4 linked regions of the Tribolium castaneum genome follow. The protein of the gene in region 3 interacts with the protein of the main gene of each other region in a pairwise test. Links are inferred from orthologs where the notes say so. Each region holds a gene or a part of one and is shown on either strand. Other genes may lie near its edges.

The links.
Region 1: the proteins of CASK (region 3) and ATP synthase subunit s, mitochondrial interact in a two-hybrid assay, tested with the Caenorhabditis elegans proteins (3 studies listed by BioGRID). The link is inferred for Tribolium castaneum from reciprocal best matches to the Caenorhabditis elegans genes lin-2 and C05C8.1.
Region 2: the proteins of CASK (region 3) and epidermal growth factor receptor kinase substrate 8-like protein 2 interact in a two-hybrid assay, tested with the Caenorhabditis elegans proteins (4 studies listed by BioGRID). The link is inferred for Tribolium castaneum from reciprocal best matches to the Caenorhabditis elegans genes lin-2 and eps-8.
Region 4: the proteins of CASK (region 3) and veli interact in a two-hybrid assay, tested with the Caenorhabditis elegans proteins (5 studies listed by BioGRID). The link is inferred for Tribolium castaneum from reciprocal best matches to the Caenorhabditis elegans genes lin-2 and lin-7.

Annotation. Positions count from the first base shown.
Region 1 is NC_087396.1:20,954,684-20,962,114, forward strand, and holds ATP synthase subunit s, mitochondrial, read right to left. Parts: upstream 3,964-7,431; coding exon 3,397-3,963; 3' UTR 3,393-3,396; downstream 1-3,392. Other genes in the region: MAU2 chromatid cohesion factor homolog, read right to left, coding at 1-412, 459-587, 636-758, 808-987, 1,037-1,261; Not11 (CCR4-NOT transcription complex subunit 11), read left to right, coding at 1,665-1,702, 1,749-1,840, 1,884-2,029, 2,078-2,203, 2,263-2,565, 2,678-2,887, 2,934-3,392; HSPC300 (probable protein BRICK1-B), read right to left, coding at 3,965-3,991, 4,041-4,123, 4,169-4,289; superkiller complex protein 3, read left to right, coding at 4,570-4,653, 5,045-5,277, 5,324-5,513, 5,559-6,137, 6,183-6,464, 6,510-6,686, 6,838-6,998, 7,046-7,431.
Region 2 is NC_087403.1:4,530,051-4,539,080, forward strand, and holds epidermal growth factor receptor kinase substrate 8-like protein 2, read left to right. Parts: upstream 1-1,303; 5' UTR 1,304-1,466; intron 1,467-1,497; exon of another isoform or gene 1,498-1,987; intron 1,988-2,040; 5' UTR 2,041-2,067; coding exon 2,068-2,316; intron 2,317-2,364; coding exon 2,365-2,511; intron 2,512-2,804; exon of another isoform or gene 2,805-3,046; coding exon 3,047-3,735; intron 3,736-4,224; coding exon 4,225-4,654; intron 4,655-4,710; coding exon 4,711-4,869; intron 4,870-4,916; coding exon 4,917-5,025; intron 5,026-6,157; coding exon 6,158-6,567; intron 6,568-6,618; coding exon 6,619-6,693; 3' UTR 6,694-6,822; downstream 6,823-9,030.
Region 3 is NC_087400.1:7,073,580-7,082,006, forward strand, and holds part of CASK (peripheral plasma membrane protein CASK), read right to left. Parts: intron 8,230-8,427; coding exon 8,161-8,229; intron 7,527-8,160; coding exon 7,497-7,526; intron 7,400-7,496; coding exon 7,301-7,399; intron 7,251-7,300; coding exon 7,112-7,250; intron 4,101-7,111; coding exon 4,050-4,100; intron 3,841-4,049; coding exon 3,721-3,840; intron 3,674-3,720; coding exon 3,551-3,673; intron 3,499-3,550; coding exon 3,391-3,498; intron 3,337-3,390; coding exon 3,161-3,336; intron 1-3,160. UniProt on the Caenorhabditis elegans protein: May play a structural role in the induction of the vulva. May be required for the localization of signal transduction molecules (such as let-23 receptor) to either the basal membrane domain or the cell junctions.
Region 4 is NC_087394.1:2,337,239-2,345,158, forward strand, and holds veli (protein lin-7 homolog C), read right to left. Parts: upstream 4,449-7,920; 5' UTR 4,328-4,448; coding exon 4,291-4,327; intron 4,241-4,290; coding exon 3,840-4,240; intron 3,793-3,839; coding exon 3,637-3,792; 3' UTR 3,306-3,636; downstream 1-3,305. Other genes in the region: angiopoietin-4, read left to right, coding at 647-738; ADP,ATP carrier protein 1, read right to left, coding at 5,134-5,376, 5,866-6,100, 6,153-6,414.

The sequences.
Region 1 (7,431 bases), on a different chromosome or scaffold from region 3:
TTTCTTGCAAGGCTTGAGTCTTGTTACCCATCACAAGACGACACATAATTATATGTTCGAGTAACATTAACTGGAAAACCGACAAAATCGGCTTATTATCTACAACTGTTAGAATTGTTGGACGTGTCAGATAAGTGTACAAAAACCAACTTTTCAATTTCTCGATTTGCATTAACGCCTTATCGGTGTATTTCTGGGCCTTTTCCATATAACCGGCCTGCATACTGTGCATCACAGTTACCAAATAAACCAAAACGTAGAGATGCTCTTTGGGCATCCATAAGAACATATCGCCAACACTTGGCCCTGTAAAAACATCATCCGTTGCCATTATTGTTTGTATGCTTTGTTGCAACTGCTTCAGGCAAGGTTTTACGCTTTTTACCTGACCGGCCATTAGACAATGGCACACCTGAAAATTGCTTTGAGCACAAAACCAATCAAATTGAGTAACGGACTTGCAACACCAAAAAATACACTCGGAGGTATTCCTTCTGGTACGCAGCGCCTGTCCAAGTTTCAATCAAGTGACCGGCTTGGTTTAATACTGGCTGGACTTCTTGCAACTTTTTGTCAATCAATAATAACTAAAATTACAATTTTAGCCCAATTTTGTGATTTAATTAAAGTCTTACCATTCCTTTACTTAAAAGAAACAAAACTCGAGTGTAACAAGCATTCGAGATGTGGGCATAATCCACCCCAACACCCAGCAGACTACTGGCCAACTGGTAGTCTTTCTCAGTTGCGTGAATTTGCTATAATTTTACAATTAAAATAGTTCTGCCAAATTGTATAATTAATTACCGCAAGCTGGAAAATTAGCCTGCAATGCCAGTAAACATTATGTTGCGACAACTCGATCGCTTTCCTCAAAATGGGCTTAGACAGCGAAATTTGCTGCTGTTGTTCGTACAATTCGGCCAAAACGCTCGCCGCTTCGAATTTAACATCGTCAAAGGTGTTGATCATTTGTGACAACAACCACTGAATTCAATCACGTCCAAATGAGTGTTAAATCAAGGGGCGCACTTACCGCTTGTTCCAAGTGGTTTTTCGCCAAGTCCGTGTTCTTGGTATGGGTCAAAAGTATGTTTCCGAGTTGTAAATGAGTGCGAGCTTCGACCCGCGGCGGTGGTTTAAAATTAAACACAGCCTGGAGGCACTGGATGCAGAGCTTGATCATAGGGGGGCTCGAGGTGCGGAAATGCTCGGCTAGCCCCAGGAGGGACAGGTACCAAGCGTCTTGGGACGAAGCCATCGCGAGGGATTGATTATTTTACACAAAATTCGCACCCAAACATGGTTTTTGCGCAAAATTGAAATATTTTGGGTCGACTGTCAAGCCAAACGCCAAACACCACACATGGGCGAAAATGCGGCGGTCGGGTCCGCATAAGGTCGAAAACTCCAACTCCCATTCATTGATTATTCTAATTAATCAACTTATTGATTATTTCAGTTGATTAGTTTATTGAATATTGCATTAAAAACTTTTTTCCTGCTTTTTATTTTTTTATTTTTGACGAAAAACACGGGTTTAGGTGTGTTTGGCCGACTAGATTTTTCGGTCTTATGGTGATAAATGTCAATGTCCGAATTGGGTTTATAGGTTAGAGTATATAAAATAAATTTCGTAAAAATAGGTGTTTTATTGCAAAACGATGGCCCTCACGGTGGAACAATGTGATATCTTACTCGAGTAAGACCAGTTCAATTTTGGCGCCCTTTTAATTCAGTTTTTGTAGTATTTTGGGTGAGACAAAGGTGAGAACCCACACTTTAGAAAGCCTTTCGAACGAGTTGCACAAAAAATTCGACTCTTGTGACTATTTTAAAGGTAAAAACCGCTATTTGATTACCCAAATAACTGTTTTTTTCAGTCGGAACTTGTCTGGTAATGATGCTTCAGCAAGATCTGTTGAAAGAGCCTGAGCAAAAACTTGTTGCTATAACGCTTCTGTATGAGTTATATCGGGGCGAAGCTCTGGCAAACACCCCTTTTGCCAACGTTTTCAACCACCTTTTGGTTTGTAATCACAGAAATTTAGTAATTGTAACATAGAAATTATCCTAGCACCCCCCGGAACACCAGAGTAGTGTCGGGTCCCCCAAACAGGAATATCCAGGCCAACTACCCAAACTGACACCACCAGAAAAACAATTCTTAACGCAACTGTTATCAGATGTGCCCAAAGATGCTGTAAGATTATCCAGGGCCTCCCCTGATAGGAAATTACTAAACGATTTTTTTTCTTCAAGATTTTGAAAAAAACAGCCACGCAAATAATCAATTCAGACGTTGGGAATACGCAAACAAATTTCGATTTTTCCGTTGTACAATTACTACTAGCCGAAAAACAGTCTGAATTGCCACACACTTGCAAAACAGGAATTCCTGTAGTTTTATCACTGCCTGAAAAAACTAACAATTATACGACAGAACGGAACGATTATGCAGCCCTTGTGAAAACTATAGCAACCGGTGATAACGCCCCCATTAATAAAGTGTACAAACCGGAATTTGTGACACTAGCACCGCCTTTGCTCAACACAGATGATGAAGTAAGGTTACATAATACAGCTTCTTTGTTTAATGCTATGGAGACGAAGGGAAATTTCCATTAATCAAGGAAGCTGTGATAATTTATTACTACCCTTGATTGTGTTTTTTAAGATGGTGTGGCTAAATCCGACAAACATCAAAGAACACACTGTAGCATATGACGTGACGATGTGTGTGCCTGACACAGCAGGCCAGGAGGCGAGACAATTGATGAACAAGGCGTACAAATCAGCGCTGTCTTTGCAACAGCAGCAACAACTGCTAGGCGAGCTGGAAAACGACTCAAAACTTGTGTACCACATTGGTTTGACTCCGTCCAAAGTATGAATCGAAATTTGGTGATTTTCGCTGATTTGAGTGCTTGCAGTTGCCCGAACTGGTGGAAAATAATCCACTTATCGCGATTGAAGTTTTGCTCAAGCTTATGCAATCGAAACAAATAACGGAATATTTCAGCGTTCTTGTCAACATGGAAATGTCGCTGCATTCCATGGAAGTGGTAAATCGGCTCACAACGACCGTGGATTTGCCCACAGAGTTTGTCCACTTGTACATTTCGAATTGCATATCGACTTGTGAGACTATCAAGGACCGTTATATGCAAAATCGGCTGGTTCGACTGGTTTGTGTGTTTCTCCAGTCGCTCATTCGCAACAAAATAATCAACGTCCAGGAGTTGTTTATCGAAGTTCAGGCGTTTTGTATCGAGTTTAGTCGCATTCGCGAAGCTGCCGCTTTGTTCAGGCTATTGAAACAGTTGGAGTCGGGGGAACAGATCGGACTTGTCTCCTCGCCAACGATAATGAAAGCAAAGCTCGAGGGTTGATTATTTAATGGAACTGTATCGTACAATGTGGCAGGCCGTGCTGTAATTTATCGACGATTTTTTCCCTCTCTTTGACGTACGGCAGATCGGCCAGAATCAGCTCTTTTAAGTTATTCAACGCGTTGAGGTGACTCAGCCCCGGCTCTGTTATATTCAAACACTCGGTGATTTGTAAATAAAGTAATGAGTTTTTTAAAACCGACAGCCCTTTCAACGCCTCATTCTCCAGATAGTAGCACTTGTGGAAAATGATTTTCCGGATGTGTTCGCACCCCACGAAATGGTCAAACCCGTAGTGCATTATGCTGGCTTCAGACGCGTTCACTTCCACGATGTGTAACCTAATCCTGTCGCTCGGCAGTTTGTTATAGTCTGTGAGAAACTCGTTGCAGTGCTCCCACTTGACGTGGGCCCCGTTCCGCAACAGCCACTCGGCACAAGACCTGTCAGGCCCCACTTGTTTCCGTCGTTCGTCGTCCACGCGGTTGAAGACGATGTTCAGCCAGTGGAAGAGGGTGCGCGTGTGGGGGATGAGCGGCCTTTGGAGGTGGCTGAGGCGAGTGAGGAGCATCTTATGTCAAGGTTTCCCCTTTGGTGACCTTCAGTTTATTTGTAAATAAAGCGCAGTGTTATGTAAATGAGACTTACACAAGCTTCCAAATAGTCGATCTTTCGCTCGAGAGTTGTCAACTTTTCGTTTAAAACGGCGAGTTTTGATCGACAAGATAAGTCTAAAAATAATTTTTGCGAGGTGTCAACAGTAAGGGGAAACTTACCGAAAGAATTGAGGAAATCGGTGATCTTTTTTATGCTGACGGTTATCACTTCGATGTATTCGCGGTTTACCCAGTCTTGTTGGATGGGCTTGGGGACTGTCTCTCCTCTAGGAGCAGCCATTTCCGCAAAAATACCGAAATTGTTGGTTACTTTTTAGGGAGTTTCAGTTTTTGCTTGACACTCTAACCCTCTCTCTTATTCTATGCTCTAACCTCGAAAAAGTTTCAAACAAGCTCGCTATTTTCGTAATTTAATTAAACAAATATTTTTTTTAATTAAATACTAAGTGCAAATGATTCGTTTTGTACGCTTTTGGTTATTTTCGAGTCTAGCTAATAAGTGGCAAAAAGTGCATTTGTAGGTTAGGCTTTTCCAAACAAGTTATTGTTTTGAGTGAATCATGAAAGACTCAAAATTAGTGTTGAAGGAGGCACGAGATGCCATCAAAAACAAGAATTATGAAACTGCCTTGAAACTATGCAAGGTAGGTGAAATTTTTATTATTTATAAGGTGTAGGGGTTGGTAAAACTGTCATAATTTACACTAAAAATTAAAAATTATCCGGTTACAAATTTCTAAAAAAACTTTGAAATCTGTTACCAATTGAAATAATCATTTGCGATCATTTCGAAATTTTGTTGCTAAATAGTCGGAGTTATCCGTTTTTTTTTTGTAGAAATTAACTTAATAAAATTAATAAAAGCATTGGCAATTTAAAATACTTTTATGTGTTCACTATTTTCTGATGAATCCAATCATTGTTTGATTCATTGTTTTTTTCTTTTTTTTCTTTGGACTGCACCTTTGTAGCAATTAGTTGCATAAGCGTTATCTTTAATTATGTTTGTTAGTGTGTGCGATTGTATTTTTGCAGCAAATACTGAAAGAAGAAAAGAACAATTACATGGCCCTTGTCTTCCTGGGAGTCTCATTACAGGAAACCGGTCAAAACGCCAAAGCTTTGAAAGCTTTCCAGGAGGCAATCGAAGCAAACCCTTCAAATCCCTTGGCTTGGAACGGTCTTATAAATTATTACGAAAAAATCGACACTAAAGAAACTAAACTTGATTTAATTAATGCTTACATTTCGCTAATTGGCATTGAAACGTAATTGATTTTAAATTATTTGGCATGAGATAATTAGCCTTTTCAGAGGCGAGAAAAAAATCCTCGAATGTGTCCAAAAACTGGCAAATTTGTGCGAATTCGGCGACTTGGCTAAAATCGTAACAGCGATTTTTTCAGTCCTGAAAGAGGGCAAGTGTGACAGTGCGGAATGTGCAGTTTGTTTGATTAATATTTTATCAAAAATTGAAAATCTCGCACCGGATTTGGTCCCAATTGTATGATTTTAAATCGTAATTTTGCAAATTAAACCAATTTTTTAGTACGAAGAAACGTTAAAACTCGCCTTAAACAACCAAAAAACCGTATGTACGAAATATTTCAGCGATTATTTAAACCTGTTGTATAAGCAAGACAAAGCGGGTGAATTATTACAACAGGCGAAAAAAATGCACGAAATGTTTGAATCAGACTGGATTTCTTTGCGTTGGATTTGTAAGATTTTCAATGAGGTTTACGTCGAGTCCGGCACTTTGATCGAATCGGTCGAAAACATGGCCAATTACAGCGAAAGTCTCTCTAAATTGGAGGCACCTTCAGCTACGGGTCTATTCACCCAAAGCATTTTACTAGTTGAACAGAAAAAAATTATCGAAGCGAAAGATGTTTTAGAGCAAGTTGTGGGGGTTTTACCCGGGTTGGTACACGCGTGGGTACTTTTGCTAAAATGTTGTATGCAACTCCTGTTGTACGACGAAGCCATAAATGCGGCAAACAAACTCGAGAAACTGTTACAAAATAAGAAGATTTTGAAGAAAAGTGTTAATGTTTTGATGGTTGAGGTTTTGTCCCGGTCGGAGGAGGAGGCCGACCTTCGCAAAGCGTTACAATTATTTGAAAATGTTTGTCTATTATTAGTACTACTTTTTTTCAATTGCAATTTCTAGATTGAAACTGAGGTGAAATCTGCGTGCAATCAACACTTGATTCGTGCAAACATCAATCTAAAAAAATTCACCGAAGCTAAATCGTTACTCCAAGAATTCAATTCTACTGATAAAACACACATTTTGCTCAAAGCCCAGTTGCTCCACAAGCAGGAAAAATTTTCCGAAGCTCTGGAAATTCTAGAAAGGGAAAATTGCGAGTCTTGTGAATGGTGGCTCGAAATCGGTTCGCTTTATTGGGATTGTGGCCACTTTGACAAAAGTCTGATCCCATTTTTGAAGGTTTCACCCAACGTTTAATAAACGGGACATAATCGTAATTTTCAGGCCACCAAATTGGACCCAAATAACTACAAGTGTTTCCTGTTTTTGGGCCATTTCTACAAGAGAAACAACGACTTTGATAAAGCTAGACGATGTTACGAGAAAGCTTTCAAAATTAATAAGCGATGTGCGGAGGCCGGGATCGAACTAAGCAAAATCTACCGCAAGTTAAAAAATTGGGTATGTAACAAATGAGACGACGCTAGAGCTAAAGCGTTATCTTTGACACTTAGCTGCTAGGTAACAACATAAATTTGAACAATTGGAGTAATCGTTACCGTAGCAACGCCCTATTAAACATTCTTACTTACATAGATTTCATTTTTTTAAGGACGCCAACTTGAACTTGTTACAAGCCCTCACAAGTGGAATAATTAACGCTAAAAATTCCTGGGCTTGGATGCAGCTAGGGCTACACCACTTGGAACAATTAGATTACGATAAAGCCGTTACGAACTTGCGATTCGTCATACGAATTGACGAAAACAATGCGTATTTTTCCACACTTGTGTTAACAAACTCGAAAAATTCAATTTTAGTCACTGCTGGGAATCCCTGGCTGACGCCTACTTGGCCAAAGGTGCCTACACTTCCGCTTTGAAATGTTACGAGAAAACGTCGAGTTTGGTGTCGGAAGCGTGGTATCCGATGTTACAAAAAGGGCACATTAAGCAGATTTTGGGCGAATTTGCCGAAGCGCGGCTCGAGTTTGAGGAAATTTTAAAATTTAACAAGTTTTACGTCCCGGCTTTGAAAGGCATGGCTGAGACTTGTCTGCTTCAAGCGAGGCATTGTTACAAGGATCAGAGACTGGGGACGAGTCGGGACCATGCTCAGGTGGCCACCGATCACTTGATTCGGGCTCTGAGCCAACGTGGCGACCTCTCGTGTTTGTGGAAATTGTTAGGGAACGGGTGTTTGTTCG
Region 2 (9,030 bases), on a different chromosome or scaffold from region 3:
ACTGGAAATGCAACACATTTTCCTGACTCAAAGGCAAACAACCCTAATTTGATCCAGAACCTGGTATTATTAGGGAACAACGGGAGACAAGGGCAGATTACAAATAAAAAATTGGCTCAAGTTTGATTTTGCCGAAAATAAAAATGCGCAAGAATTTTTCGGAATACTTCTGATTTTGAACCAATCAAAATTGGACGAATTTTTGCAATCTTTAAAGGTGTTTCTCCCCGTTTCGGTTCGGAGGAACACTCCCGGAATGAGGAAATTCCGCGAGTCGGTTGTTTATTTAATTTAAATGGATACGGAGGGGAGGTTGCGTTTTATAAGAATTTCCTGAAACACGAGCGTTGAGATTTTCCGGTATTTAAAACCGAGAAAACCTGTTTTTCGCGAAGTGAAACGTAGATGGAATGCGATTTTCCACAACCGTCTAAAATGTATTGGGACCAGTATAATTAAGCCAAAGAATGCGGTTTTATGCTCTCTTTATTCGTCACCTATGTGTGTTACAGCCATCACGTAAGTATACATTTTACTGACAACAAAACAGAAAAATTCTAATCAGAATGATTAAAAAAAATTTGCCGCTTCAGTTAAACAAACATAACATTGAAATATCAAAACAACACACTGAAAAAACTATTAAATAAGCATCCAATCAATGGCTGATATGATTTTCATAAAAAATGAGGTAACATCGTTTGTATTTTTTTTTTCAATATATTATTATTACATAGGTACCTCCTACCTGTTTCTTTTCAAATCACAGAGAAAATAACAATATTTGATCATGAATTTAAAAAATTGTAACAAAGATTTACAGAGCAATTTTACTGAACTTGGGATTCTATTGTGTGGGGTGGTTTTTAAGGCAATAATACAACCGAAAGGTGTAAAAAAATTAATTTTATTGTGACTAAATTAGTTGCAAAACACTTGTTAAAGTCAAACTCACAAAAAATTAATCATTTAATTATTACATCACAGGTCGCTGTTATCTTATATTTTTAAGCTTATTCAAAAACAATCAGCAATTAATATTTAACAAATTTTGTAATTGCATTAATTGTAGGGTAGGTAACTAGTAATACTTCGGTTTCTTCTGCTTCTTCCCCTTTCTTCAATTTCCTCTGATGTTTGAATTTTCCAAATGATAGCTCTTAAGAGAGCCCAAAGGTATTTCGAAAAAAGGTTGGGGCTAGTTTTTGGTCAGAAAAAAATATGCAAAATTTTTTTTTCTGTGTTATGTTAGGTTAGTTTTGTGACAGTTTCCAGCGCTTCTCCAATCTACAGGTAGGTTCTTGTACGCATGTGCAAAGTCATTTAGCTTACCTGACAGGTAAGATACGAGTAGCCCACCTGTAAATATAAAACATTTTAATTTCGTTGTGATTAGTGTGAAATGTGCTAATCAATTATTTTTAGTAATGAGTGATAGTGTTGCGACTTGTTGATTCGTATTTACGGTGAGTATGTGGCGGGTAAAGGGCTGATTTAAAAGTCCGTGAGGTAAAAATTTAATAATACTGTTATTGTTACTGTATTCATGCTATTGTGATATGGTCGCCACGATGGCTTTTGCGCCAAACTATTCACACACATATGTGTATTTCACAAGCTTCGTTAATAAATCGAATTTGCCTCATTTAACCCATTATTACTCTCTGCGTCATCACAAGTTGATGAAATCAAGTTTCGGGTTATTACAACTGTTGCGAATTAAAATATTCCCGCGCACTCCACGCCCTTCGTGTCCAAATTTAGTTCGCAACAGCTAGCCCATTAATATTCACAATAAATACATGCAGTTTTGTCCGTAAAAGTACGTCCTGAGGAATTGTTGACATTCCTTGCATTCCAGTATGGCTGAAGGTGTGGCATAAGAGAGGAAATTAATCTCAGTCGAGAATTATTATTAGGGCCCGAATTCCTTCAAAATGACAAATATTTATAAAAACCGCACGATACAATGAGATTAAATCCCGCAGTAGATAAATGTTATCATCAATCAAGCCGTGACAATAATCTCCGCGTTTCCAGATATTGAGTGGCTTAAGTTAAGTTAATATGGCGTACCGCTCGAACGGGTATTCGGGGGATGAAATGGACAGGTACCGGGATGAAGGGGGCGACAAGCCCACCTATCTCATGGAGCACCTGGCCACCTTCACAGTCACCAAAGAAACGGGGATCATGTACCCCGCCGACGGCATGCGGAGGCTGCTCCAGTTGGAAAAAACCAACGGCATTTGGTCGCAAAAAATGCAACTGTGCCTCGACCGCTCCTGGGTCTTAATCATGGATTACGAAACTGGGGTAAATAATCATCTCACGTAAACTCCAACTCTACACAAAAACGTTTAGAGTGTCATGGAGCGCTTCCCGGCCAACTCCATCCAAGAACCGACTGCTTTCACCAGCCATGATCCCATGGAAATGTACAACAATATTCTAGTTTTTAACGTTGCCAATTCTAACCCGGCTCATCCACCAGAAATGCACATTTTTCAGGTGAGCATATCTATCTGGCTCATCTTATCGGGCCCCCCGGCCAACACACTCATTTATTTTCGTCATTTATCTTATCAATCTATGGATTTTTAACAATTATTACTGTTTCCAAAAAACACAAGATAATCAATCAGATGTTACGGCAGCGAAATTAATTTGCGTGGTCGCGATAATCTCTAAATCAGATGAGATTATGGGGCGAATAAAATGAACGAACAAGGAGCATTTGATCGGACATACGGGATAATTGTAATGATTGTAAATACATAACGAGTTTTTTGTATAAGACTTACTTGCGAAATTATTAAATATAGAAAATTCAGTCAGTCAGCAGTACCAATAAAACGCTGGTAGTACAAAACTCTCTACTTTTTTTTAAATTAATGTTTTTTATGAAGGAAATGAAGGCAAGTTTATTGTCTTCGTGTCCCAAACTCGCATAATAATACACAATTTTGATAAGGTATTTCGTCGCACTCCAGCTCGTGGTGCTCTAAAAAATGATGTATTTATTTGTTTTTACGTGGATGTCTAGTGCCAGAGCATATCCGCGCTCGACCTGGTGGAAGACTTGAAGCAGTTGCGAATGGGCAAAACCCTGACTCGAAGCCGCAAAAGCAGCATCCCGCCGCCGTCCCACAAGCCGCCCCCGCACAACGTTATCAACCCGAGCCGCGACCCGCGAGGCGATTACCACGGTTCCGATTCGGAACTGACCGCAAATAACGACGACTCGAGTTCGACAACTAGCGAAAAATACGAACGAGACGTGACCATTTTGAACCATTGCTTCGACGATATCGAAAAGTTTATCGCCCGCTTGCAGCATGCCGCCGCCGCCGCCCGGGAGTTGGAGCGTCGGCGGAGGAGCCGCAAAAGCAAGAAACGCGACATGGGGGACGGCATGTTGACCATGCGGACGAAACCGCCCCCGGAGAAGGAGTTCATCGACATTTTCCAAAAGTTCAAGTTGTCGTTCAATCTCTTGGCCAAGCTCAAGGCGCACATTCACGATCCCAATGCTCCAGAGCTGGTGCATTTCTTGTTCACGCCTTTGGCGTTGATTGTCGAAGCCTCGCATGATACCTATCCCGATTCACAACTTCCCAGAAAAGTTGTCTCCCCGCTGCTGACCAGGGAGGCGGTCAATTTATTGATGAACTGTGTCACCAGCAAGGAGACCGAGCTGTGGCACTCGCTAGGAAACGCCTGGCTTATACCCAGGTAAGGCTATTTTTGACGAAATTGACAAACAATTGGTCAAAATTTCGCGATAAAAATAACTCGCCTATCTATTGTTGAAAGAAGCCGAAATTATTTACAAAGATATTGCCAGAATATCTATTTGAAAAAAAATTTGGACGAAAACTTATTTTAGATATGAATATTTCAATTTTTCAGTAAGAAAGAAACTAGAATGTTTAGCCGAAACCGGCAGAGAATCTTTGGTTGAGATGTCAATTCTTTTGGAACCAACATTTTTCAAGTTATCTTGTTGAAACCTAGCAAAATAACTTATTCTATTCAGCCAGTTACGGCCTAATTTGTACGTTAAAAACAGTTTAAAAAACCGTAAAATTCAAGGCTGGCAACAAGATTTGAATTTCCCGAGCTGCTGTTGCCAGTCAGCTAAATTCGCTAAGAAAATCTCACGCCCCTGAGTAAATTGGGAAAGAGAATCCGTCCGGTGTTAGATTTCCCTTTGTCTTGCAGAGATCAATGGAAGGGTCACGTGGCGCCTTACCACCCGATTTTTATGGACGGTTGGTCCCCTGATTACCCGGTTGTGGACGAATTAGAGGCAAATAATGATAAGCATTACAATGAGGGGCAGTACAGTAGCGACTGTAATGATTACGATACAAACCATCGCGACATTTTTATTTATGAGAAAAGTACAGATTCCCACCACCCAAAAATCGACTCGGATCATTTGCCCCCGAATTTGGGCGAAAGCACCAGAAGCGACATTTCGGTCGATTCGATCGAACGAAACGGCGGCGAAGAGCGCGGTTTTGGGAGAAGTCAGGAGAGTTTCTTGGAGGATTTGCAAGCCAGAGGGGCTAACATTGTCCAAGTCACGTACCCCCGAACCGCCAACAACGACAAGGAATTGACCGTGGTCCGTGGAGAGTACTTGGAGGTACCCTCACTCCTTATCCGCCCTTCTTATGTTTATTTTTTTATTGTATTGTACAGATTTTGGACGATAGTCGCAAGTGGTGGAAAGCTAGGAACAGTCGGGGCCAAATCGCGCACGTGCCCCACACTATTGTAACGCCGTTCCATTCCGGCGGAAATGATATTTTTAACAATCCGTTATACACCACGCGTAATAATTACAACAGGAATCGGGCGGTAAGTTCTAGTTTGATTTTTGTGTTTTTTGGTAATGATCTGGTTAGGACTCGCCGTCTGATAGATTTAGCGGGGGCCACAGCCCTAATACCCCCGACCATGTCAACCCCCCCGTTCCAGCGACTTCCGCTGATTGGGTTAGGAAAGAGAGGCTCGGTAAGAAAGGAGAATTTCGTTATTTCTAAGCAGTGTCGTCGCCGCATCTTCGTCTGCTTCTTGTATAATATTTGTTGTTTTTTGTACATTGTTATTGTTAGGCGTTGGCTTCTATTTTCATTCAAAGTACAGGCTATAACCTCATTTAACTTATTATTAAAATCTATGTATTGTATTACTTTAATGTTTGAAGGGTAGCAAAATCCGTCCAAAATGTAAGTAAGAGTGTATATATTTTTGTATTTTTGATACGGTCATTTGTACTAACTCAGTACCTATCTTATTGCATTTATGAAAAATAAATAAATTTTCTACTACACTGTCCGTGTTTGCTTTTGTGTTGTGTGGACGTTGTGTTGTGTGAAAAATACATGACCGGTTTGTGCGATTATCGTCTAGTTTGAATTTTATCCAAGGTCAGAACGGCAATTTTTGATTACGCCGCTATGAATAATTAACAAAGACCACAAAATTGCAAAAAGTGATAATAACCGCGTAATTATCCAAAACCGGATACTCCGAGTTAGTGTGACTCATCTACGATCTTCACTCCGATTGTTACGTAATAAATTTAAGGGTACATCAAAGTATTAATCAAGCCGGTCGTTGCGTTATGTTTGGCGAAAATGATTAAAACCTATAAAATTATTACGTGACAATCGATGGAATTGATGTTCGGGTTTAGGGGCTGAGCAGTTTCCTCCGAAAGTTTGTAATAGGCTTTAAGCCGAATGCAAACACGCCGAGTGATAATAATTACACCATGGGAAAATTCTTGGTGCAAGACGTCTGAATAATAAATAGAGACAAACCGACCGACTACGCACTATCATCGATCTGTTTGAGGAAATTTCTTAATTGACTTTGCGGAATTATCAATTTGATAATTATGTTTACTTGTCCTGCTGCAACAGCGAGTTGAATAATTTACGGGTGTCAATCCTCGCCTCGTTCCATTTCGCTCCCGCTCTTACTTTATTGATCGATAGGTGTAATAAATCCGCTGTGGTCTTCCCGTTTTTACCTTGAGATCTATTTGGCACAAATCTAATCTAATCTTAAACATGCGTCAATTCGGAAGATTTCTCCCAAGGCTATCGCATAGCTCGCAAAAATAAAACTCGTCCTTTAGACACTAGCAATGCACCGCCGCCTCCGCCGCCCCCGCCCCCCGTTGTGTCAGCCCCCGTGACACCGGCCGCCACGTTAAGACGCTCACCGTCGACGAAGTCGGCCGCCACACAAGACGTATTGCAGGATGAGCTAAATATCGTGCTATCAATGGTCAGAGACAGGAAGCACAAAACGCACATCGAAATTAGACAAACACCGGAAGTCTACATTAATCAAAAATCCAATCCGGAGGAAGTGCAAAACTGGCTCAAAATCAAAGACTTCGATTCGCAAATTTGCGCCAAATTTAAGGGACTCGCCGGACACAACTTGTTCGACTTGCACAAGAGCCAACTGGAGAAAGTTTGCGGGGCTAAAGAAGGCGCCCGCTTGTACTCGCAATTAAACATCCAAAAAAGTGTCAGTGGGGTACGTTGACACGTTAGCAACCAGGCAAAAGTGTTTCCTTGAATTTTTCAGTACCAAACCGTGAGGAGCTCGGAACTGAAGGCAATCCTCGCTAAGGCCAGGGAAAAAATTGAAGCAGTTGATTAATATTTATTACACACAATTATCACTATCAGCGCTACCTATCAAAGGTTTTAACGAGCTTAGTGGAAAAAATTCACTTGATTATGTCATGTAAATATGAATAAAATACGGTAATAAATATCCCAAAGTGTTTGGTGTTGTTTCATTGAATTCGTTAAAAAATATCGACCAAACTTCGGGTGCCTACTAGCTGCGAGTTTGATTTACGATAACGTGCACACAGTTAGTCACTTATTGCTTGGAATAATCAAATTAATTATTTGCTCGAAATTTATCATAACGATGACTCGGTGGAGATTTTTCGAAACAGAGTTATTGACATCAGCATGACGTCACAAATAAAAATAACAATGACCTTTATAATGCAAAATGTTAACGCTTTGCTTATGTTTTATTCATGGTGACTGTACGATGCGTTTGTGAATAAAAACTAGATACAATTAAACTAATCCAGAAAAAATAAGAAACTTATTGATATTACTGGTTATTTTGAAGTGCAAGATAAAAACCGCAATATTGGTAAAATGATAAGAAACGTAATTTAAATGTAAATACAAATGAGAAGACAAACACCGAGATGGTAATTTTGAGTTATTTTCAGAAGTTGGAATTGTTTTGTTTGAAATTAAATAAGCACGTCATATGGGCTTAAGTTTATGACAGTTTGTCATAAAGTGATGCCATAGCCATACGTAAAATGAATATAGCTGTTATTACGTACGTGTAAGGAATTTCTGAAAGCGAATTATTTAATAAGCGGACCATTAAGATAGCTACTTAACAATCGTAAGTATGGTACAATAAAGCGATGGTGGATATACTATTGAGTATGTGTTTGCTTAGTGTTTAGATAAAATATATACGATATAATAAATGAATGAAATGAAGACAGTTTGTGATTTGTGAGTCGAGAGGAGTGAGCGGTGTTGCGACTGGTGTTTCTTTAGTAAGTAATGCTTTAAACGAAATGGGTAAGTTCAGGTCGCCGTGGATATGCAATCGATAATATAGCTTCTGCCACCGGCACCGCCGCCACCGCTGCCGCCGCCGCCGTGCCCTGCTAGCAGTGGATTTTTGGCAAAAGACGCGGCTCACATTTGCAGTTCTCGCTCAATTTTACGGTATCACCTACTGCGGAAAGCTTTGGGTTAGGTTGGGGATGGCTCCAGAAGTGAGCTTCGGAGGATGAGTGTAGGGTGACCGCGGCGTCGCGGTGGAGTTAAGTAGAGTAGTTTTGTGAAAAGTTGTAATCAAATCGGATGGATCTGCTGAGCGCAGCTGATAGAGGGCGTCGGCATGGCATCGTAGTGCGCGTGTTGTTTACTAGGGCGCCATCGCAGTTCCCATCGTGGCTCTGTCCACCTACCACAAGCATTGAACAGAGAGAGGCAGCGCCCCTAACGGCGAGTCGAGCGAGACCATTACGTTCGGGACTGTTAATGTCCACCGGCCAGAGCGGCTCGGAGTGGTGCGAGCGAGTTGAGTTTGAGTGTGTGTAGTGCCTGACTGCCTGGGTGCGTTTCTGGCGCCCAGATCCTGCTATCTATTATCGGGCGACAAATGTTAACTTGACCGTCACTACGGAACATCTAGACGGAGTGGACTGTGACAAGGGCTCGGGGCGACCGCTACCGCAGCCGGGACATATTGGACCAAGGCAGAAAGTAAGTCCTTCCGTCCTGTGGATATAGGTCACACGGCTCGGCTGACGGAGGACGGTGCTCCTGGTGGAGGTGGTGGTGGAGGTGGTGACAGTGGCGGTGGGATGGGCCGAAGAGCGTGTGCAACTCTTCGTCTTATCGCTCGCTACTTGAACTAGACTCATGTAGGGCTAGTGACGTCACAGGCAATTGCCCACCCGACACCAGTGTAAACTAGTAAAGGTGCCGACACTGCCCGACCTTTATCCTCTCCTAGGTCTAGGCTCTTGTCTTGCCTTTTTGTTGATTATTTGCCGACACCACCGCATACCTTATATTGTGAGTTGAGCGAAATCGATCGCCAGCGCCGACTGAGTGGCGGTAGTAGTATGAAGCGGTCTGTTGCATGACGTCATTTATCCATGAGATTCCTGACTAGCATGCATTATAAATAACCTCAATACCTCCTTTAATATCGAAAAGCTGAGAGCCAGCAAAGCCGCACACCGCCGGAGCGACCCGCTCGTATCTATATCCAGGTGTCATCACCAACTCATCATCTTCGCCACCGGTCGGTTACTTTCTCCAGATCCGCTCTATAAACTCACAAATTTCAAATAGGCCGGAATCGCGCATTTTCGGCCGCAGGTATCCATAAAATCTAAGTTTAGCTGCGCAGAGCTTCCTGCTCGTTCAATTA
Region 3 (8,427 bases):
AAAAGTGGTTAAATAAACTTTGAGAAACACTGACTCTTTTGAGCTTAGAAGGTAAGTAAAATGAACACTATTTTCCATTTTGAAGTTAGATTTTCATTAAACCAACTACTTCCACAATAATATGTGCCACGAACGCATACTGTAATAAAATCACCAATATGTTTGATAACAATTTTCGGAATTTTGTTGAGGAATGTCGCTCGTCGTTGCAGTTATAATGTTTTGTGTTATTGATTAAATACGCACTTTTATAATTGGTGAAAACCGTAACAAACCATTATTAAATTTTAACCAAAAATTCCAATAACTGAAATAAAAAAACTCGTATAACACATGAAATGAACCGTAAAATTCGTTGAAAAAAACAGTTTTACTCTAATACTTTTAGTTCTCAAGTTATAATCTTTCTATTAAAAAACTAAAATTCAAAAAATTTCAAAATTTTTATTTTTCAATTACGGCAAAACCGTTCGAAAAAATAAAACAGTTTTGCAGTAAACCCATGTAAAATGATCCGGAGAATCGACTGGCGTTGAGAAAATTGCAAAATTCGTAACAGTTTTTTAATTATGATTTTTTTATCACTTATCTTTGCTAATACGGGCACTTTACTCGAAAACTATCAGTCTTCTGTCTGGAGCGATTTTGAGATAATTTTAGGCGCATTCTGATGCTTTCATGGTTTTTACTCAAAGTCTTACAGCTTCCAAAAATTCGCTAAAAGAAACTGGTTTACTCTAATACTTTTATTTCTCAAGTTATAATCTTTCTATTAAAAAACTAAAATTTAAAAAATTTCCATTTTTTTTTTCAATTACGACAAAACCGCTCGAAAAAAGTAAACAGTTTTGCAGTAAGCCCATGTAAAATGATCCGGAGAATCGACTGGCGTTGAGAAAATTGCAAAATTCGTAACAGTTTTTTAATTATGATTTTTTTATCACTTATTTTTGCTAATACGGGCACTTTACTCGAAAACTATCAGTCTTCTGTCCGGAGCGATTTTAAGATAATTTTAGGCGCATTCTGATGCTTTCATGGTTTTTACTCAAAGTCTTACAGCTTCCAAAAATTCGCTAAAAGAAACTGGTTTACTCTAATACTTTTATTTCTCAAGTTATAATCTTTCTATTAAAAAACTAAAATTCAAAAAATTTCCAATTTTTTTTTCAATTACGGCAAAATCGCTGGAAAAAAGAAAACAGTTTTGCAGTAAACCTATGTAAAATGATCCGGACAATCGACTGGCGTTGAGAAAATTGCAAAATTCGTAACAGTTTTTTAATTATGATTTTTTATCACTTATTTTTGCTAATACGGGCACTTTACTCGAAAACTATCAGTCTTCTGTCCGGAGCGATTTTAAGATAATTTTAGGCGCATTCTGATGCTTTCATGGTTTTTACTCAAAGTCTTACAGCTTCCAAAAATTCGCTAAAAGAAACTGGTTTACTCTAATACTTTTATTTCTCAAGTTATAATCTATCTATTAAAAAACTAAAATTCAAAAAATTTCCAATTTTTTTTTTAATTACGGCAAAACCACTGGAAAAAAGAAAACAGTTTTGCAGTAAACCTATGTAAAATGATCCGGAGAATCGACTGGCGTTGAGAAAATTGCAAAATTCGTAACAGTTTTTTGTTTATGATGTTTTTATCACTTATTTTTGCTAATACGGGCACTTTACTCGAAAACTATCAGTCTTCTGTCTGGAGCGATTTTGAGATAATTTTAGGCGCATTCTGATGCTTTCATGGTTTTTACTCAAAGTCTTACAGCTTCCAAAAATTCGCTAAAAGAAACTGGTTTACTCTAATACTTTTATTTCTCAAGTTATAATCTATCTATTAAAAAACTAAAATTCAAAAAATTTCCAATTTTTTTTTTAATTACGGCAAAACCACTGGAAAAAAGAAAACAGTTTTGCAGTAAACCTATGTAAAATGATCCGGAGAATCGACTGGCGTTGAGAAAATTGCAAAATTCGTAACAGTTTTTTAATTATGATTTTTTTATCAATTATTTTTGGTAATACGGGCACTTTACTCGAAAACTATCAGTCTTCTGTCCGGAGCGATTTTAAGATAATTTTAGGCGCATTTTGATGCTTTCATGGTTTTTACTCAAAGTCTTACAGCTTCCAAAAATTCGCTAAAAGAAACGGGTTTACTCAAATACTTTTATTTCTCAAGTTATAATCTTTCTATTAAAAAACTAAAATTCAAAAAATTTCCATTTTTTTTTAATTACGACAAAACCGCTCGAAAAATGTAAACAGTTTTGCAGTAAACCCATGTAAAATGATCCGGAGAATCGATTGGCGGTGAGAAAATTGCAAAATTTGTAACAGTTTTTTAATTATAATTTTTTTATCACTTATTTTTGCTAATATGGGCACTTTACTCGAAAACTATCAGTCTTCGGCCCGGAGCGATTTTAAGATAATTTTAAACGCATTCTGATGCTTTCATGGTTTTTGCTCAAAATCTTACTGCTTCCAAAAAAAACGCCAATAACAGAAACAAAAATTACCATTTTTCAAGCGCCGATTACGGCAAAACTAAAAGAACTAGGAGAAAACGCCACATCCCACCGTAAAGAGCACACCAAAAACTATCAAACAAAAAAAATGGGTTACAATCAAGTTTGATACTCATTTTTGTATTTTTTTTATTAATTTTTAATTTTTTTATTTTCGCAATTATTGCAAAACTAGCCGGAAAAAAGAAACAATTTTGATGTAAAACTATGTAAAATGGTCCGGCGAGTCGACTGGCGTCGAGCAAATTGCAAAATTGCTCAATAGATTTTTAATTATATATTTTTTATTTTACCTATTTTCACTTTTGCTGAAAATTTGAAAAAGACAGAAAATCAGAAAAACTTTCCGAAGCTTCGGAGTTATTGCCCGATGAAAAATCTCGTCAAAAATCGGAAAAGTGCATAAAATTCTCTTAGATAGAGTTAAAAAACTTGAATTTCTGGAGTCCTTAAAAAACGAAACAATTTAAAATCGGACTCGTTGGGGTTCTAGATTCGTTTAAATGCACAAAGCGAACGTTAGTCGCATTGTTAGTAATTTATTCTGGTATTGTTCCTTCAAAATCCTTGTTTCTAATCTAGTTAAGAGTGTCCTAAAAACACCACAGTGACGCTTACATCTGCAATGTTTTGCAAAGCCGGAGCAGCAATGAACACAACATATGGTGAGAACTCAGCAGTACGCAACACTTTGAGTGCTTGAGGTTCAACATCAAGAATGGCCATTTTACCTTCTTGATGTATTTTACGGATTGTATCTAACTTAGTTCCGTACATGGCATCTTCGTGCGTGCCTACAACGTGCAAAATGACAACAAAACGAACTTTGATGTAAACAACCCAACTACCATATTCTAAATACTCATTAGCGGCTATATCGGCCATCATTTCGTCGTGCGACACGAAGAAATAATTGCGGCCGTTTTCCTCGTCGGCTCTAGGTTGCCTCGTTGTATCTGAAATAATCCCACTTGAGCTAAATGAAAAATGAGCAGATGGGAGGCTTACGTGGTATAGGATAAGCATACTGATCGGGATGTTTAGCTATTAGAGTATTTTTAATATGCCGTCTACCGACCCCGTGAGCCCCCAGGAGGACTAAGGTCTTTCGCTGGAAAGCTGGATCAGTCACTTCAAACAGAGATTAGCCAAAGTCTCACATTTCAAAAAGCACTTACTTGGCAATTTCACAACTTCCTCATAAGTTACTAAATCTAATTGGTCAAAAACAGCATTGTGCTTTGCCAAATATTTATCCTTGTACTGTTTCTTCTTGCGACCGAATATTGAGCAATTGACTGGAAAAACCACAAGTTAGTACGAGCACACCACAGCCAAAACTATACCCTAGGGGTCTCTCTATACCATGCATTTCTTCTATTTATACTTTGAAAGTTATTTATTGATTTTCCCAGCAGATCACAAACAATCAGTCTACTAGGGAAAACACTTATTATGAAATGCTTAAGTATCATGCTTTAGGCTACTTAATGTGGGCATCATATACCTGTAGTACCATCACAACCGTTAGCATGAGAAGTACATCCTTTTTCCACGTCTAGCATTCAACAAAAATACAGGTCACACCAAAATACGGGTTTATCATTGGTTTTATTGTTTTTGTCTGTTTAGTGTGAAGGAAGTTATCGGCGGAAGTGAACAGACCTGAGTTTCGCAAGATAAAAAACGGCCGAAAGTTAAAAGCAGTATTTTGCAAACTCAAAATTGAGGAAAATGGGCATTTTAGTATAACAAAAAATGGTGAACCAAAATATTCCTCCCTATGGCCTTGAAAATTTTTTTTCTTTTCTCAACCACATATTTAATTTATTGAGTTTTCCACTAGACTAAAAATGACACCACATAATATTCTTTGAAGTCTTAAAGATTTTTTTCTTTTTTAAAAATATTTCCACAAGTGACTTTTTGAATTTTTCTTCAAAATATCTCTACACGTGAAACTTATTTTTTTGAGTGTATTTTCATAGAGAAATTATTTTATCAAAAAAATAAAGCAGATCTAATAGACTTCCAATTGTAAAAAAAATCGTAAATAAATACTCAACTTTGAAGGCTAAAAAAATTTTTTTTGCTCTTAAAATTTTTCTACACGTGGAACTTAAATGTTTCATAACAGTCTTCGCGTAAAATAATTTATTTATATTTTTACAAAAATCGAAGCTTATTTAAGGAGCTTCAAAAAAATACCAAGATGGTAAACCAAAATACTATAGCCTTAAAGAATTTTTTTTTAATATCTTCACAAACAGAACTTAATTAATCATTAAAGCCTTAACTATTTTTTTCAAACTGAAACTTAGTTTTTTCAAAAAATTCCTTCCACAGCAGATTTTTTAATTTTTACAAGACTTTAAAACTTAGTCAATAGACCACTCATTTTAATAAAATGGTAAACTAAGAAACACTTCTTAAAGCCATAAGAAATTTTTTTTCAAAATCTCTCAACACATAAAACAAATTTTTTTTGAGTGTATTTCCATAGAGAAATTATTTTTTCAAAAAAATAAAGCTGATCTAATAGATTTTCAATTGTAAAAAAAATCGTAAATAGATACTCAACTTTGAAGCCTAAAGAAATTTTTTTCTGCCCTAAATATTTAAAATATTTCAGCACGTGGAATTTAAATGTTTCATAATTGTCTTGGCGTAAAATAATTTATTTTTATTTTTACAAAAATCGAAGCTTATTTAAAGAGCTTTAAAGAAACAGCAAAATGGTGAACCAAAATACTCCTCCCTATGGCCTTAAAATTTTTTTTTCTTTTCTCAACTACTATCAGTCTTCCTGCACAAACATATTTAATTTATTGAGTTTTCCAATGGACTAAAAATGACGCCACAAAATATTTTTTGGAATCTCAAAGACTTTTTTCTTTTATAAATATATTTCCACAAGTGGATCTTTTTTCAAGTGCAGAGATTGTTTGTTTGTGATAATTAAAGTTTTCCTTAGTAAAACAAGAGGGAATGAAAAAATTCCTTACAGCCCTAAAAATTTTTTTCTTCTATTAAAAATTTCCACAAATAAAACTTAATTTTTTCAAAGGTCTCACCCGGTACGGATTTTTTAAATCGAAACTTATTCAATGAGCTTTCAAAAGTGAGAAAATGGTAAAACCCGAAAAATGATCATTAGAACTTTAAAGATTTTTTCCAAAATATCTCCCTAACTAAAATCTATTTATTTATTTTAATACCTCTACAAGTAAAACCTAATTTTTCATGCAGAAAACTTTTTTATTTCGCAGAATTAAAACTTATTTAATAGGTGTCCTACTGTAAAAAATTGTTAACACAGAAAAATACTTATTCTTGAAGACTTTTAAAGAATTTTTTTTATATCTTTACAAATAAAACTTAATTTTTTCAAATGTCTTCCTGTAAGAGCAATTATTAATTTTCTGAAAATCTGAAGTTTTATTTAACGAGTTTTCTACTAAATAAAAAGTGGTGAACAGAAAAATACTAAAAAAATATTTTTTCCCCCAAAATATTTCAACAATAAAATTTTAACTTTTTTAATTTATATTTTTCTATAAATTGAGAATCATATTAGCGGAAATAATTAATTAATCATTAAGGCCTTAACAATTTTTTTTTAAACTGAAACTTTTCTGAGCTTTAAACTGTAAAAAATGCTAAACCAAGATTTTTTTCTTTATTTCACAAAATATGTCGCAGTGCCAAAAAATTTACAGAAGTCATATTCTGAAAATTTAATTGTTTCAACCGTCTTTCAGTAATTTTTTTTCCTTTTTCAAGAATCGAAATTTATTTAATGGGCTAGTTACTGTTAAAAAATGATAAACTGATGAATTCTTAAGACCAGAATTTTTTCTTTACGATTATACCTATCTCAAAATATGTTCTCTAAAACCAAGGTTAGTGAAAGCGCTTTTCATTGTAAAAAGTAAAACTTAACGAATTTTTTTGTTTTTACAAAATATTACTTTTATCAAGTTAAAAGGTTTTTTTATTTTATTGACTAATTGAATAACTATTTAATTAGTCGGTTTGATACACGAAATCAAAGATCAATATTTTTCATTTAATTTTAACCCATGATTTTACACAGACCTATAAAGGGAAAAACAACATTCGAACTTTTGCAACTCGTACTAGAAAATTAATAACTTGCTAAATTCCGGCTCCGCTTTTTCCAAAAATTCAGATAATTTGTCCCAAGTCTGTTCACAACTGCACTTCTAAGGGTTCCATGCTTCATGTTTAATAATGTATGCTTATTCTAAGTCGGTACGTTCAATATCGCCTCGATCCGTGTACAACAAAGTTACTTCATTACTGAACATTTAAGTATTCCATTGAAATCTCTCTACAAAGCAATCGCAATCTTCACTCGTTCAAATTGTTTTCCGAGTGAAGTAAATTTGCACAAATCGAATACGAACTGCACCGACATTCGTTAGAAAACCGAATTAAACACAACCATGCAACAGTAAAGGGGGCACCAGCCATGAAGTTTTATGAACTGCTGGAAAAAAACTCAACGAAAAGAAGCGGTGTGGTGTCGGTTGGGTTTTCACTCACCTTGTTCTTGTTTCGTTTTTTCCATGGCGGCGCAAGCGGCCCTCCATTCTTGTAATTCGGGTGAAGGGATCAAGCCCGCAGAGCCCGCAGAGTTGTCCTTGCGGGCTTGCCACCAGTGATGATCATCTTTACTAATAATCTAAAAATTTGTAATTTTACAAATGGCTTTTTCAAAAAAAATTTTTTTACTTGAAGGATATCTCCGGTTTTGAAGGCGATACCAGCTTGGGCGCAAGGAATCAAATCGTCCTCAAGTGGATCATAATCGAATTGTGCTCGAACGAAAATCTGGAATTATAGGTTCATGCCTAACTACTCAAAAAACTAGCAATACGGACTAGAACTAAAGCACACCACACCCGAACCAGATACTTGGGGTACTTACTAGTACTGGTAGAGGTTTAATCCGGAATAACTAGAAGGACCCGGAAACAGAAAAAATTATTACTCCAAGAAACTACAATTTTGACGCGGAAGCCTCATTGCCAGTGCAATCAAACTTCCGGTTTAAAAGTGACTGAATTTCAGTCAAGTCACTTTTAACAATCTAAGACTAATTTAACCTACAGTGAGCATGTGTGGGAGGTAGACACATATCTGGTATGATGGGATGTGCTTTAATAATGAAACAATGCCAGTGATTTACAGAGGGGTGTGATCGGTCACCAATACATTGCGTTCCTGGTCTGTCACCAAATTATTTCGAAAAATTTGGTGACAAAGCTACTATTTTACAAACAAAATAGTTCCGGCGATTAAATTTCATAAAACTGCGCAATCCAATTCCATTTTTTAAATTATTGATTTCGCAAAAATTAGGGCACCCATAAACTATACACATCCATAACGATCCGTAATGATGAATAGGTAATTCATGACATAAGACAGAAAAATGGACGGAAATTCGAACAAAAGCTATCATTATCATCCTGAATTATTACTTTACACGCTTCATGTATCAGTTTTAGACTGAAAATTGTTTTTTTTTTGGAATTGGATTTAAAACATGCTAACATTTACTTGAAAAAAAAAATGATAGAGTAACTCACCTCGCAAGGGGGTGGTGCACTTCTATAAGACGGTACAATCTTAAACGTGACTGAACCTCTTGCCTCCCTCTGGAAAAATTAAGAATTTGCGTAAAGATTTGTTATTCCTACATAATCCCTACGAAATTACGTGAATAAGTTAAAATCTTTTCCTTAGTGGCTAGAAAATGGTAAAGAAACAAGCAAACACATGAAATTTCATTTCATGAAAAATTTCCTTTTTATTCTTAAACGTGTAAAAATGGCGAGTTAAAATTTCTTAATAAC
Region 4 (7,920 bases), on a different chromosome or scaffold from region 3:
ATTTTTTTACTTGGTTTAGTGAAATATCGGAAAAACTTAATTTTAAGCTGAAAAATGTACTTATACCCTTGAAAAAGGCATCACTGAAATTGTAGTAACTCCAAAAAAAAATCCATGGAAATTCCAGTAATTCCAAAATAATTTCAATAATTACAAATTAATTTTCGTAATTCCAAAATAATTCCTATAGCAATCTGGATAATTCTGAAAGAATTCCAATAATTTCAGAAAAAAATCCAGTAATTCACAAATGATTTATCCACAAGTGAAATTCCTGAAATTATCAAAAATGACACAAAAATTCCAACAATTCCGAAAATCTGTAGTAAAACCAGATGAGTTCCTTTAAATTCAACTTGAATTCCCGTAACTTTAACTTCGAAGAAAATCAATGTAATTTCCATTCCAAGTAATGCCAAGCAATGCCAAAAAGAATTCTAGTAATTCCAAAAGTATTTCCAGTAAGTACCTAATTCCAAAATACCTACTTCCGAAAAATTTCAAAAAAATTTCAAAATGTACAACTATTAATACCAGTAAACGACCCCTTTCTGGAAATACAGGGTGTTTCAAAAAATACTGGCAAACTTCGAAACTGCGAGAAAACCATTTTTATTTTATTGCTTTTGACTAAAAAAAATTGCAGGTATAGTCTGGTTCCGGTGGAGAGGCTGGGACTACACGCTGAAGAAGGCCATGATGATGATCAAACCGAAAGGACCAGTTACAACAACATAAAAAGTGGAAGAAAACTAGCCAATTTATAATCACCGGTCCATTTAATCATAAAATTCATCAATCATAAATCAATATTTATTTCGACACATCCGACACTTACCTATTTTAAATTACCTCATAGTATAGTATACTGAAAATGATTTTTCACAGAAATATTGCCTAGAACGGTTCTATCGACCAACGAATTTTCCCCAGTTGTATGTAAATATAAATGATAGAATTGTTCCTAATGTAGGTTAAGATTGTACATTTGCGCTCCCATCTTAGTTTTGTAAGGAGGTGTATTTGCATGTAGTTACACTAATACATACACAGAGACGCACACACATTTCCTGCACGATTTTTGCAAAAACTAACATTTACTAATAGCGAGGCAAAATGTGTTTAAAATTTCCGCTGATTATAAATTGGGAAAACACGAAAATGTTGAGGAAATTTAAGACTGTGTCGCTTATCGGAGGAAAGTTTCGTCGATAAGTTTGTATTAATGTAAGGTATTTTGTTGTGAGGCTAATGGGACATGAAATGCAATGTTCGTATTAGGCAGGTTAAAATCAAATCTTACCGTAGGTCTTGTACCTTAAGCGTTTTACATGGTTGTTGTAAATATTCTATTTCAGAGTTGTATAAATTAAATATATTTTAATATAATAAATTATGTTAAGTATTAACCAACCCGAGTTTCATTCCCCAGTTTAAATAATTATTCGATTCCTGGTACTCTCTGGAATACCGGGAATCTGTCCCTTTATACGCCGCCCGTGCACGTGTCATGAGATGTTTTAATTCGCCGATTTTTTCGGACTATTCTCGATTTCCAAGAAAATACATTTCAGTTGGTGTTTTCAAATCAAACGTAAAGGGTGTTTAGTCGAACTCAAGCAGTCGTAGAATAAAGTGTGTTCGATTAAAATATAAAATACGTGATGGATACTTGATACTGAACCACAGGAGAAAATACTTACGTGAGTTAGAAATTCTACTTAAAACTTTAACCAAAACTTGAAAAAATTAAATAGACGACGTGATATTACACTTATTTTACTTGATTTTTCAAAAATAAATAGGTTCTGCTCAAAGTAAAAATCGACTAAAATCTCGGTGAAACTGAAAGTGCATAAAATGTTCTTGGAACGAATTTCAAAAAATAATTTTGCTGATAAGTTAAAATTCTCCCCAGTAAATGGTTTTCGAGATAAAAGCGTTTAAAATTGCTGCTGGTGAGAATAAAAAATTAAACTGCCTGATAATTTATCCAAAAACTCGTAAAAATCAAATTTCGCTTGAACAAATCGTTTTGTTCTAGCCTAGGAGTTTTTTTTTGGAAAACTAAAAATGCCTCTGTAACCGAAGCCGTTGCCCGGGGCTGTCTTTTTTCTTCTTTTTATTTTGAAGCCCCCCTTTTGAGCCTTGGGACCATGCAAAAATTTCGTGGGGTGCAACTTTGGTTATCTCACGATTTTAAGTTTAAACCTTTGTTGAGATGCATTTTTTCTCATAAAACGCAACTGTGTCCATCGTTAATAGGCGAAATATTAAAATTATATTAATTTAAATTGTTTGGGCCTTATTTTTATTTTTTAAACTTGGTGACATTTATGCACGCTTGTTTATATGGTTGCATATGCAAGTTAAGGGTGAAAACTTTTTTACCACAAAAATCAACAAGTTGTTACTGGTTCTGCAAAATAGGGACCAAAGGATTAATAAAGAGCCTCATTTAGTCATTTATGACATGTTTCGAGGAAAAGGGTTACAAGCATTATTACACATTCAAGGGCTCAAATTTAATTGTCAAATTCACATTGGTGGTGAATTCGTTTAAAAAAGCTTGATTTCAAGGATTTTACAAAAGGAAAAACTGACCTTGTATTGGAGAAAAGGACGCAAAGCAGGAATAGGCAACAGGAAGCGGTGGAATCGGGTCGTTATTGAGTGTCTTTGCACTTTTGGGCACTAATTGTTCACATAATTGGTCTTAGAACTTTGAACTTTTAGTTTAACACAGTCACAAGTCTAGGAAAACACGAAATCAGACAAATTAAAAAAATAGACAAAAACGAAGCCACCCATGACTTTTGGCGGCTACTCAGTGTTTTTCCAGCGTTGCCAATCTAGTCGCACACAAAAATCCCTAAAGGAAAGCCGCGAATTGTGAATACAATTTTTTTTATTCGAATCACCACAACTAACCAGTGTTGTGTTTAATATTTTAAGTGTAAGTAACAGAAGTCTCAATACCACATTCACTTTCAACGAAAATCCCTGATCCGTAGTTGTGGGCTTTGTAAGGTTCGACTTAAAAGGCTCAAAACCTTTTATTTCAATTAATTGTTGATACTCAACGTTTATCTCACGTATTAGCTGTTTCAAAACTATAAAAACGCCACCGGCGCATTGTTTATGCACTTCAAAAAATTGATGTCTAATGTAATTTATAGTTTCAATGAGAAAGTTAATCCTTAATAATTTTTTTAAATTTTTTATCAACCTTATTTAAAAAATAATTCGGTAAAATACAACGTTGGGAGTTACTTAATAAATTTTATTAAAAAACAAAGAAACCATTTTGTTTTTTGTAATTATTTATTTAATACAACATAAATAACAAAAAAAATGGAAACATGTAATACTTGGATTACTTGTCAATACACGGGTACTTGAGATTCAGTACTTCTAGAGACCAGTGCACATCGTGCTAACTATACAATCATTCCTTAAATGCAACACAATCTAATAATAATAATATGTAATACCATATTTCGGTTAAATGTCTGGTCAAAGTAGCCTATGACTTTGAAATTTGGGTTTCTAACTTTGACTATCAAATTCAAACTACTAATAATTCAGTGTGGCCAACTTAATTTCTTTGTCATAGGCTACTCTGTCTAGTTATTTTTAATTGTACTGCTGCCGTCTTCTCGCCCTCTGTTTGTCGAACCTTAACTCCATCTCCTCCAAGACTTTGGGGGTGTACCTCACCACTAATTTGACAGAGCCATGGGCCTGTTTTAACAACTCCACTGCCTTTTCATGGTTTTCTCCTTCAACAGACTACCCCACAATTATTAATATTTACCCCTTTATCAAACCTCACTCACCACTCCATTGACACTCAATAACTGATCCCCTCGCTTCAGCCCCCCGTGCCGATCCGCCACACCCCCCGGAATAATCCTAGAAATATAAATGGGGGAATTCTGCTCCTTTCCCCCCATCACATTAAACCCTAAACCCTCCTCAGTCTTTGGCAGTTCCACGACTCTGGGGTGTGCATGTCCCTCACTGGCTGCGAAAGCTGCAACTGTGGCCTTAGCAGTGGCAGAGGCTCGCACGTCTTGAGACCCTTGAATATCAACAGTTTCGTAAACGTGCTCGTAGACCTCGCGCACTGCATTCAGAAAGTCGCTCTGGAGGACTTTCTGAAGGGCCGCGAGTTTAGTAGCCGGGACTTCGCCACTTTTCTGGAGCTTCTCCAAAAGCTCAACGGAACGCTTAATGTCTATGACAAACGTTGGAAAATTGCGTAAAATTAAGTAAAAATGTGATTACCTCGGTGGAGGGTCAATGGTTCGCCGATTTGGGCCATTTTTGCAAAATTGGGGCCAATCCTTTTGTTTGACAGGTAAATGACAGCTACGTTGGTACTAAACCAAAAACGTCAGATGTCCCTACATTTGTGCCTTCTGGCACTTGAAATTGATAAAACTTTTTATTGAAGGGATTCTTAAACTAAATCCAGAAAGAAGGATTTAGCAGGCAAATGAATAAGGCCGATTTAGCCAATTTATAAAAGCCACCCCTTTGAAATATTTTGGTTGGTATTAACTGTTACTCGCTTTGTTAGAGCAACAATAAAAGTCCCTAGATAATTTTAAATTTTGTAAAATGCTAACGGACGCTATTCATTTTAAATTTGCCTAAAAAAATGGGTCTGCGTGAGAAAAACTTGAGTGATTACGAGTGTCTTTATTGCCGAATTTACACAAATCAAGCTCATTTACAAGACAACTTTTTTACATTGTTTTGCGGTCAACGAAATGCATTCGACAACTGAATAAAACCACGTGACCTCAACTATATTAACAACTTTATTACGTCTCACACTACCAACAATAACGAAAAAAAACAATAATAAAGTAACTTATCACAACTGTTTATTGGTAAACGGCTGTTAAAATATACAGGATTTAAAATACAGGGCTATCAATACTTCAGCTTACAATGCCATTATTAAAACCGTGTAACGAAAAAAAATTGCTGGAATGTAAATTCCTGCGCCTGATAGTGTTAAAAAAAGGAATGTCGGCCTAAAAAATGCATCAACCACGGAATGAAACAAATAAATTATGAGACAATTAATAATTTAAACCGTAATAATTCTACTATTTCTGTTTAGAGCAAAGCTTTAAGCTCGTCGTATAGTACAAGAACCAAAGCTCCGCCAGTGCCACGGAGAACGTTAGAGAACGCTCCTTTGAAGAAGGCAGTTGGGCCTTCGGTTTTGCCGATCTTGATCCAGCAATCCAACGTATTCTTGTACATAATATCAGCTTTAGCGCGTCCAGACTGCATCATCATACGCCTTCTGACGGTGTCGAATGGATATGACGTAATTCCAGAAACTGTCGTTACGCACTGGCAAGAAAAACGTCATCAATACACACATCAAACAAATCACTAACAACTGATAGTCAATCAATGACATCAGTTAATGGGTAGTGGTAAACTAGAGTCATCAAAGTAGGCTCAGTTTTGTGTAACACATCATGTGTAATAACTTCAAGGACAAATTCATTCAATTCTTATAGGAACAGACGATCTAATCTTATCGCAATTGTTTATGGTGCAAAAAAACTGTTACAATATAGTTCTGAACTCTATTACACAAAGGTCAATTGTGATAAGAGTTATCTCGTCGCACGTCCACAATTGGAAGCAGATAAGAGAGGAATGTTACGACACTATTTCGTAACGAGGGATACCTTACTATTTCAGGATATAGGTCTTCGGATCAATTGCTTTCACTTTTTCAGCTTCAGCAACTGGAAATAACAACAAATCAAAGGTTAGGTGTGTGTCCTTTGCCCATCAATCAGTTCACCGGTTGGAGTCCAATATAATTACCTGTGCAATAAGGAATGAGATGAGGAACGGTGTGTTCTTGGGATCGGGCAACATTCCCTTGGCAGTATCGAAGAAGCCGAAGTAGGAGGCACGGTAGATGATGATACCTTGCACTGAGACAACGAAACCTCGGTACAAACCGATCGGTCCGTCCGATTTCACTGTCTTCTTAATGCAGTCCAGAAGGCCGGTGTACTGCCTTTCGCCCTTGCCTTTGCCGACATCGGCGCCCAAACTATCAAAAATGATTACATATAGCTGAGGAACTTAACAATTTAAAAACCTACCGAGTACGAGCGTAATCTAGAGGGTAGACGAAGCAAAGTGATGTCGCACCAGCGGCACCACCTGACGCCAAATTACCGGCGAAATACCTCCAAAATTGGGTGTTTTTGTCAACACCGCCCAAGAACATCTGTTTGTAGACATCCTTGAAGGCGAAGTTCAATGCCTGGGTTGGGAAATAACGGATCACGTTGGCGAGATTTCCACGCCAGAAACTGAAGAATCCCTGTTCTTTGGGGATACGGACCAGGCAATCGATGATCCCTACATGGAAAATTACGCGCTTAATGCATTATTCAAAGTGGGAAAAAACAAGGTCGGAGATTGCTGTGACTAACACTACTATTTGACCCAAACTAATCAACGACCTCTCAAACAATGAGTCCAAGAGATAAAATGCAATATGCGTTCAAAAAGGACTGTTTTACGTCAGATTGGTTAGTTAGCTAATCTAGAAATTGTAACTCAACAACAATTTACGTTATAGTCTCTAAAACTAAGCGAGATTGTAGAGTGGTTATAGACTGTTATTTTTTGGGGACGCCTTTTTTACAGTTCAGATTCTTTAGAAGTTAGAAAGGCGTCTATGAACTGGAAATATTTGCTAAATTTCCTTGAGAACAAGGAAATAGAGCCCGAAGAGATCGAATAGTTATATCTGGACGGTAACACAGTTAAGTCATCTTCTAGGGGATAAACTATTTCACAGCACAATACTGAAATCCCCAATTATAAAGTTACCACTGGAAATGAAGACTCGTGTGGTTATTGCGATTTTTGACTCATTTTTATGTAACAAGTGGGAGAAATGCCGTTCCCTGACAATAAAATGTTCCGAATTATTTCCAGAAGATTTATTTGATTTGTAAAGAAAGTGATAAAAATGAAATACCAATGAATTTTAACGAAATAAGTGTGAAAATCGTCGTTTTTGGCAAAAATAAACAGCCAAAAACACCCATAGTTCGATTATAAGTAAGAAATTGTCAAAAGTGGAGGTATTTCAACGAAAAACGTATTGTTTTTGTAGTATTAAAATATTGGGTATGTTATCATTCGACAGCGCTGATTCATAAATAAATTGGACTAGATAACAGAATACAATGTTGGAATCCTTCAAATTCAAGGTTATAAGCCGAAAAAATGAAGAGAACAAGAACAAAAACAACAAAGTTCTTTGCTACTAATGCATTGCAGACGAAAAAGAATTAAAATCAGCGGAAATGGACTAAAAATCTGCACTTTTAATGTCGAAACCAATATGGCTTTAAAAAGTGACAAGTCTAATTTATATAATAGTGTATTCAGATCTTTAAAATCTTTATAAACACAGGTAAAATGTGATCATTTAAATTTATAATTAGAATAGGCTTTGATACTTTTTTTAACTTACGTAAAAACACTGATTATCACAATTAGTATTGATTTTAGTATGAATTTTCCCCTCAATTTGGACAAGTTTTTCAATCATAAATAAACGCCTACTATAATTATAAATATAAATTCAAATGATCGCATGGTACAAGTTATATCCGATCGTTAATCTGATCTTTGAAAAAAAAAAAGTAGTTATCAAATTGTTTAAACAATAGAGCGTTTAAATAAAGCTAAGGAAATAAATACTTTTACTTGAAATAGTAAAAGATAAAGTAATATATATTTTATCAGACAGAAAAAGATAAAACTAATAAAAGCTTTTGCTATATTTTTATTCATACAACTAATTCATTTACTACAAATTATAAACTCAGCTGCCAACAAAATTTAAAT